Macaca mulatta: one gene and its partner. The main gene of each other region encodes a partner of the protein of the gene in region 2 in a complex. Links are inferred from orthologs where the notes say so. Each region holds a gene or a part of one and is shown on either strand. Other genes may lie near its edges.

Region 1 (4,484 bases), on a different chromosome or scaffold from region 2:
GAGGCAGGAGGATGATTTGAGCCCAGGAATTTGAGGCTGCAGTGTACTATGACAGCCTGGGCAACATAACAACGTCTTGTCTTAAAAAAAAAAAAAAAAGAAAGAAAGAAAAAGGAAAAAGAAAAAAGGACACACCTCACCAATTTTGAAATGTGAACGAAATGCAAATAAAGCAATAGTTTTTTGGAACTCATCACTTTGCATTGAATTAGGCATGGAACAACCACTACTCATTTGTTAAGATAATGATGCTCTGGATTTAAATTATATATCCTGTATTCTAAGATCCTCGTTACTGAACTGATTGATAGGCAAGCCTGGACCTGGGGGGAAGTGGACTAATCAGAAACAGAACCCTGCATTCCTTCCCTTTGGCTGACTTATACAAATAAAAGAATAACATTTAATTGACAAAGGATAATAGCTTATAAGTAAGATTGTTATGTTGGAGATGTGTTAACTTAAGTCCTTTGAATTAAAAGCTAAAACTCAGTTTTACCTTCATGAATTGATTAGAGAGAAAATTACCAGGTCCTTTGCTCTTTTTTAAGAGAACTGTGGTGGCTACCTGGTAGAAAACAATTCTTAAGTCACACAACCTCAAAAGTTAAAAGTGCTAACTTTTGAAAAGGATGTTTGAAATGCTTTGGAAAATTGCACAACAGTTGAAGCAGTAAATAATATTAAGCCATTACAAATCAGGACAAATATTAACAGACCTTGCATATAACTTCTATGTATCTCTTCAATACGCCCTTTGCCTACAGCACTCAGGGCACAAAAATCTGGGGAAAACTTAAAACTAAGATCTGTTTATCGGAGCTTTTTACCTTCTACCCAGAAGAGTTCGTGTTTCTTTAATTCTGCCATTACACAGTACTTAAGACATCCAAAGCAACTGCAGTGATACAACTCTATGCTAAGTTTTTAAAAAGATCAGTAAACTTAACCCACAACTCACAGTATTTTAATCAGGAGTTCTGGAAGTAAGGGTATTTTTCTGTTTTTTTTCCATACCCTCTGAGGTTGAAATTTTTTTACTCTTTTACTCTGAATAATACCTAAACCCTCCCTAGGGAGAGAAATATTTTACTCCTAAATGACATTATTAACGCATTTTTCTACAGATATTAATGTACTGGAGATATGCTGTTTCCTGCTTATTAGGAAATTAAAATCCCTTTCATTTATATAGTTTGATTTTTTATAGCGCTTTCATATACTCACTTGAACGTGTACACGACACAAACATACAACAAATTTAGACTTATCAGGCATACCCTCAGCCAGAACTTATTCAAACTTACTCGATTTCACATCGTCTTGATGTTAACAAAATTAAGCATGAGCACAATGAAATCCGTATTACTACCAGTTCTCAATGAACAAAAAGAAAAACCAAATTCGCCCATTTCGCAAGGGAAAAGTACTCCCAATCAGACAATCGCAAAAAAAGAAAAAAAATCTCAACCATACATTCACGTAAATCTTTTCAACTCAGAGCTCCAAACGCAGTCGACAACCACACAACTGCCCACAATCACAGCGGTAGCGCCTACTCTTAATTTTGAAGCTAGAGACTTAGGATACACACACACACACACACACACACACACACACACACACACACACGTTCTCTAAAGTTTGACACACACACACACGTTCTCTAAAGTTTGACAAAGTGGGGGAAAAGTCATTTTAAGTAAAGAAAACGAGTTAATCAGGAGGCGATGAGCCCAGTCCTTCCGCCCCGCTTTCCCGCTTCCAGCCCTCGAACTAACCCTCCTCTAACCCCCGAGAGGCAGGAGTTCTAGCGGGAAGATGCGGAAAGCGGCCGGAGACTCAGGGACCGAAGTCGGGGAGACAAAGAGCAGCCCGCGAAGCGCCCGGGTGGCGAGGGGCGGCCCGGCTCCGCCCTGCGCCCCTAACCGCCCGAGTAGTTGTCGGCACCGCCGGGGCGCCGCCGAGTGCGCGCCGCCTCTGCCCGGGCTCCCCGACAGTCCCCCGACAACTCCGCGGCCCAAGACACCCCCGAGCCGTTTCCCTCCGGATTTGGGAGCCGCGCGCTTGGGGACAAAGAGGGAGGGTGCGCCGGGGGCAGTGGCAGGACGCGGGCCGGCGACGCCCCTCCGGACTCGGCGGGAACCCCTCGGCGGCGCCCCCCTCCTCCCCCCGCTCCGGCCGCGCTCTTCCCTGGACCTCCGGAGGTGCTCCTCGGCCCATCTTCGGGCTCCCCACGAGTTCTCCCGCCTCCCCCTGGGACCCCGCCCCTGGCCCCCTTCTCCTCAGCCGGCCCTGCGGCCGCCCCTCACCCGGCGGCGGGTTCCCCCGGAGCCGCCTCCTCCGCCGGGCCTCGGCCCGTCCCGCCGGCCGCGGCCTCATGTGCCCAGCGTCGCCATCGCCTTCGCCTTCACCCTCGCCTCTCCTCCACCTCCTCCGCCGCTGCCGCCTTCGCCTCAGTCTCCAGCCGAGGCAGAAGCCGCTCCCGCCGCCGCCGCCGCCGCCTCCCGCTCCCGCTCCCGCCGCCGGGACCCGCGGGAAGGCGCCTGCGCACTGCGCGCTGCGGTGGGGGCGGGGGCATCCCGCCGCGGCCCGGGAGCGGGGGGCGCGCGGCACGTGGCGCTCGAGTGGGAGGGGGCGCCCCGGAACGCGCGGGAAGCGACGGGAGCGCCAACTTTCCGCGGTCGAGTCCTCGCCGTGCTCTCGGATAGTCCGGGACGCGGGGGAGGCGCGGCGCGCGTGTGAGTCACCCGCGTGGAGTTTGGACCCCGGGTGGGCGCAGACTTCGCTCCGGGCAGTTCTCCTCCAAGCTGATTTTCGGGCGAGAGTCCCCTGCTAGCCGCGCCTCAGTTTGAGCTGGCCGCTAACGGCGCCGTGGGTTCTCGCCTTACCTGGGTATCCTGGGTTGGTTCAGCGGGCCCAGAGTTGTCTTCTGCGCGCTCCGCCGAGGCCTTGGTCCATTGTAGCACGGGATGCTAATGTCTCCTCCTAGGTTCTGCTCTACAATTCCTCGAGGATCTGGCGGGCCCTGGGTGGATCTAGCTACCCTAGCGTCTTTGAGTCGGGGCTCTTAGAAGTGCTCTAGATACTTTTCAGGTCCTGAACTTCTCGGATTAGCAAGACCCTAATAGGCTATTTCCTCTTAACTCTTTGCATCCCAGCAGGGTCCCATTCAGAGGACTTGGGAAAATTTTTCATGCATAGGAATCCCCAGTTTTAAAATGCCCAGTAGGAAACCGAAAATTCTCCAAATGCTTTAAGTAGAGTGAGACTTTGGCTAATAAAGGAAGGCTTAGTAAAGAGATGGGCGACCTCTGGAATTATCTCATCTGATCATCAGAATGCCGATGGATAGGCTTTTATTATTTTGCCCTTTTGACCAGAGGAAATTAAGCGCTAACAAGTGAGGTTACTTGCTGCAAGTCAAACTCCCCAACCCAAAGCCAAGCCCTAAGGGCTAGCCGCAGAGTGGAAAACTTGAAGGCTAGGCATCTAATGCACTGACCAGTTTTTTGTGGCCAGTATGGTGTTTTCCAAAAATATGAATTAATTACCAAAATATTAAAATCCAGATTTCTGGCCTCCCTAAAAAGTCAAAACGTGCTTACTTTGAGCTGCTCTTTTCACATGGCAGCTCCTCTTGAGTCACCTTGTCCGGGTAGGCAATGTCCCCACTCAGCTACTTAAATCATTTCATGACCTGCTTGGCCTAGGAGCATTTAAGTACTTCTCCCTGTGATTGCTGTAGTCTGTCCCCACGTCTTATCACATTGCCTCTCTACAGATGTATTTAAAATGACAAGTGTGGGATGGATGCGGTGGCTCACGCCTGTAATTCCAGCACTTTGGGAGGCCTAGGCAGATGGATTGCTTGAGCCCAGGGGTTCCAGACCAGCCTGGGCAATATGGCAAAACCCCCATCTCTACAAAAAATATAAAAATTAGCCGGGTGTGGTGACACGCACCTGTGATCCTAGCTACTCCAAGCATGAGGTGGGAGGATCGCTCAAGCCCAGCAAGGCTGCAGTAAGCTGAGATGGCGCCACTGCACTCTAGCCTGAGCGACAGAGTGAGACCCTGTCTCAAAAAACTAAGTGAAAAAAATAAAATGACCAGGGTGGAAACCCTGAAAATACCTGGAAATAATAATAAATAACATGTAACTAAAATAACACAGTAAACAACATCATTGTACCTGTTGAATAAAATATTAAAATTCTCACAGCCTGCAACTGTAAACTAGCATAAATCACTTTGTTGTTTTTGTTGCTTTTGTGACAGAGTCTCACTCCGTCGCCCAGGCTGGAGTGCAGTGGGGTGATCTCGGCTCACTGTAATGTCCACTTCCCAGGTTCAAGAGATTCTACTACCTCAGCCTCCGGAGTAGCTGGGAATACAGGCACCCGCCACCATGCCTGGCTAATTTTTGTATTTTTAGTAGAAATGGAGTTTCACCATGTTGGCCAGGCTGGTCTCAAATCCTG
Region 2 (3,808 bases):
CTGTCAATGTTACTATCTTTTGTAAATAACAATTAAATATTAAAATATACCCAAAATTTCACCTGCCTTTGGTTGCCATCTTCTGGATGTTTTACTAATATTCTTAAAGTATTTGTGTGTGTGGACATTTCTTGTGCCGATAAATGGTTGAATCTGTTTTTATATTTCGGTAGAGTAGCTACCCATACTCACGAGAATAAATTGTGAAATTTCTAGTTAACTTAAGAGATACGTGCAGAAATGAGAACTTGTTTTGTAAATGTGAGTCCATTTTCAGGTGTTGGCATTTTCTTCATTTGTTAACAGGGGAAAGCCTCCTGAAGCTGATGGTGTAGATAGATCATTTGGTGAGAAACGCTATGAACCCCTCCAGGTCACTCCCCCTCCTCCTCCATTGCCCTCGCAGTACGCCCAGCCATCTCAACCTGTCACCAGCGCGTCTCTCCACATACATTCTAAGGGAGCACATGGTGAAGGTAGGAAGTTCGGAAGTAGACATTATAACACAGTAATGCTTAAGAAGTAAAATTCTGGTGGTTTCTAGGCAAAATGGTTTTTACATTAAAAAATACATGATTGAAACCTTTGGGCTGGGAACAGTAAAAACTAAGAATTTTGTTAAAAGTATGTCTCCTGTTTTTACAAGACCATTATTTTGGACAAGCCTTTTAGCTAAACAGATTTTAATCTGTTTTGTGCTAGTCTCAATCTTGTGGAAGTAGTGTTTGCCAGTATATCTAAAGATGGTTTGTAAAACGTATTGTTATGTTTCATCTTCACACACCCAAATAGAAAAGCCATGGTGTTTCACAGAAGATGTATCCCATAGCACCTTGACTTTTGCATTTACATACCAGGTAGATCACATACAGCTCCAGCTTATTCATCTTAAGAGCTGTGTAACGTTTTACCCTCAGCGTGTAACACAAAGTGTTTATCTCTTCTGCCGTGAACAGGCATTCTCGTAGCACAGACTTCTCTCTTATTCCATTAGGAGGCACCTCCCAGGATTTGAGTCTTCAAGCAGACGTGTTATAGTTCTGGATTGAGACTTACTAAGATTTTGTTTCACACACGACCATGTTTACAGATGAAGACAGTTTTAATTCTTACTTTCCAGTCTTTATGCTTTTTCTTTTTTTCTTTTTTTTTTTCCTCTCTCTCTTTTTTGAGACACAGCCTTGCTCTCGCCCAGGCTAGAGTGCAGTGGCACAGTCTCAGCTCACTGCAACCTCTGTGTCTTGGGTTCAGGTGATTCTCCTGCCTCAGCCTCCTGAGTAGCTGGGACTACGGCGTACACCACTACGCCCAGCTAATTTTTGTATTTTTTGTAGAGACAGGGTTTCATCATGTTGGCCAGGCTGTTCGCAAACTCCTGACCTCAGGTGATCTGCCCACCTCGGCCTCTCAGGTGCTGGGATTACAGGCGTGAGCCACCGCACCTGGCCTTCTTTCTTTTCTTGCTGATTGCACTGGCCAGGACCTCCAATGAACTCTGAAACATAAGTGGTGAAATTGGACCTCTTTTGCTAGTTCCTGATCTTAAGGAGGAAGGACTTCATGTTTTACCCTTAGAATGTTAGCGGTGGGATTTTCGTCGATGTCCTTTGTCGTGTTTAAGATGTTCCCCATATTCAGAGTTTGCTGCAAGCAGTTGGTCAGATGTTTTTCCTGCATGTATTAAGATGACCATATGATTTTTCTTCTCATACTGTGGTAAATTATATTGCCATGTTCATGAGGAATTTGGATTAGTAGTTCTCTTGTCTTGTAGTGTCTTTAATTATTTCACAGAGTTCAGTTGGTACTATATTACACTGCCTCTGCCGGCACATAAAAAATCCTGTGGTTCCACTTCTTAACCAACATTTGGCATTATCAAACTTTTCAGTTTTTCCATTCTAGTGTGTGTGAAATAGTATTTAATGCTTTTGGTTGGTTTTGTTTTACATTTTTCTAATTAATAGTGAATGTCCTTATTATATGGTTATTGGACATTCTGGTTTTCACAAAGACTAGTGCCAGTCTTTGGAGGCCAGGAATCTTAGCAGCTGGACCCTGACTCCAGGGCAGCAGGGTCTACCCATGGTACCGCCTGTCAGTGCTGCCCTCATCCCTCAGCACCACACCTAGCCTCCGGGGCTCAGGAGTCAGCCTCTGGCTGTGCGACTCACACTTGGGCCTCGACTCCAGCACCAGGACAAGTTGAGCTGGGAGAGGGCTGTTACACCTTTTTTCAGAAAGGTTTTTAAATGCTTATGTTTGTTTTTCAGGTAATTCAGTGTCATTGGATTTTCAGAATTCCTTAGTGTCCAAACCAGACCCACCTCCGTCTCAGAATAAGCCAGCAACTTTCAGACCACCAAACCGAGAAGATGCTGCTCAGCCAGCTTTCTATCCCCAGAAAAGTTTTCCAGATAAAGCCCCAGTTAATGGAACTGAACAGACTCAGAAAACGGTCACTCCAGCATACAATCGATTCACACCAAAACCATATACAAGTTCTGCCCGACCGTTTGAACGCAAGTTTGAAAGTCCTAAATTCAATCACAATCTTCTGCCAAGTGAAACTGCACATAAACCTGACTTGTCAAAAACTCCCACTTCTCCAAAAACTCTTGTGAAATCGCACAGTTTGGCACAGCCTTCTGAGTTTGACAGTGGAGTTGAAACTTTCTCTATCCATGCAGAGAAGCCTAAATATCAAATAAATAATATCAGCACAGTGCCTAAAGCTATTCCTGTGAGGTAAGACTTTTGCCTTTGCTCAAAGCATTGCCCCTGTGATTTTTCTCATGTGAGTTTGTTGTAGTTTATTTGACTTGGGACTTTGAAGTGATCTTTTTAACTCAACCTTTAAACTGAAGAGTGTTGTTGCAATGAATGCTGTTACATAGAAGGTCCTCCAGGAGTTACAAGATGTTGGTAAAATAATAAAGCTAACAGTCATGTATGGTTGGTAGGTATTGTCATCATCCCTGTTTTACTAAAACTGAGGTTGAGTGACAGTAAGCAGATTGCCCAGGGTCACACAGCTCGAGTGAGGTGAGCCTCGATTTAGCTGCTGGTCATCCAACCTCTGAGCCCATGCTTTTTTTTTTTTTTTTTTTTTTTTAAAAAAGACAGAGTCTCCCTCTGTCGCCCAGGCTGGAGTGCAGTGGTGCGATCTTGGTTCACTGCAACCTCCACCTCCTGGGTTCAGGCGATTCTCCTGCCTCAACCTCCTGAGTAGCTGGAACTACAGGCGTGCACCACCACGCCCAGCTAAATTTTTTGTATTTTTAGTAGAGAGAGGGTTTCACCATGTTGGTCAGGCTGGTTTTGAACTCCTGACCTCAACTGATCCACCCACCTCGTCCTCCGAAAGTGTTAGGATTACAGATGTGAGCCACCACACCTGGCCTCTTTTTTTTTTTTTTTTAATCAAGACAGAGTCTCGCTCTGTCACTCAGGCAGGAGTGGCGTGATCTCAACTCTCTGCAACCTGCAACCTCCGCCTCCCAGGTTCTAGCAATTCTCGTGCCTCAGCCTTCCAAGTAGCTGGGACTACAGGTATGCACCACTATGCCCTGCTAGTTTTTGTATTTTTAGTAGAGGCGGGGTTTTGTCATGCTGCCCAGGCTGGTCTTGAACTCCCAGGCTCAAGTGAGCCTCCCAAAGTGCTGGGATTACAGGTGTGAGCCACTGCACCCAGCCGAGAACCCATACTCTTAACCAGCCATGGCCTCTTGTATTCTCCTGACCTGCTGTTAAGGGGCATGTGGAGGACATCTAAAAACGTTAAATATCTATGTTCCTCTTTCATTAT

The links.
Region 1: the proteins of TJP1 (region 2) and GJC1 are in contact, whole or in part, in a crystal structure (PDB 3SHW), measured with the Homo sapiens proteins. The link is inferred for Macaca mulatta from reciprocal best matches to the Homo sapiens genes TJP1 and GJC1. Residues at the interface, in NP_003248.3 of Homo sapiens: Lys429, Ser432, Val433, Gly434, Leu435, Arg436, Leu437, Gly449, Val450, Leu451, Val484, Leu487, Leu488, Leu549, Asn551, Gly552, Lys553; in NP_001073852.1 of Homo sapiens: Lys391, Thr392, Ser393, Val394, Trp395, Ile396.

What each region holds. Positions count from the first base shown.
Region 1 is NC_133421.1:69,206,327-69,210,810, forward strand, and holds the start of GJC1 (gap junction gamma-1 protein), read right to left. Parts: upstream 3,079-4,484; 5' UTR 2,892-3,078; intron 2,585-2,891; exon of another isoform or gene 2,313-2,584; intron 2,046-2,312; exon of another isoform or gene 1,782-2,045; intron 1-1,781. UniProt on the Homo sapiens protein: One gap junction consists of a cluster of closely packed pairs of transmembrane channels, the connexons, through which materials of low MW diffuse from one cell to a neighboring cell.
Region 2 is NC_133412.1:8,707,861-8,711,668, forward strand, and holds part of TJP1 (tight junction protein 1), read left to right. Parts: intron 1-306; coding exon 307-476; intron 477-2,273; coding exon 2,274-2,748; intron 2,749-3,808. UniProt on the Homo sapiens protein: TJP1, TJP2, and TJP3 are closely related scaffolding proteins that link tight junction (TJ) transmembrane proteins such as claudins, junctional adhesion molecules, and occludin to the actin cytoskeleton.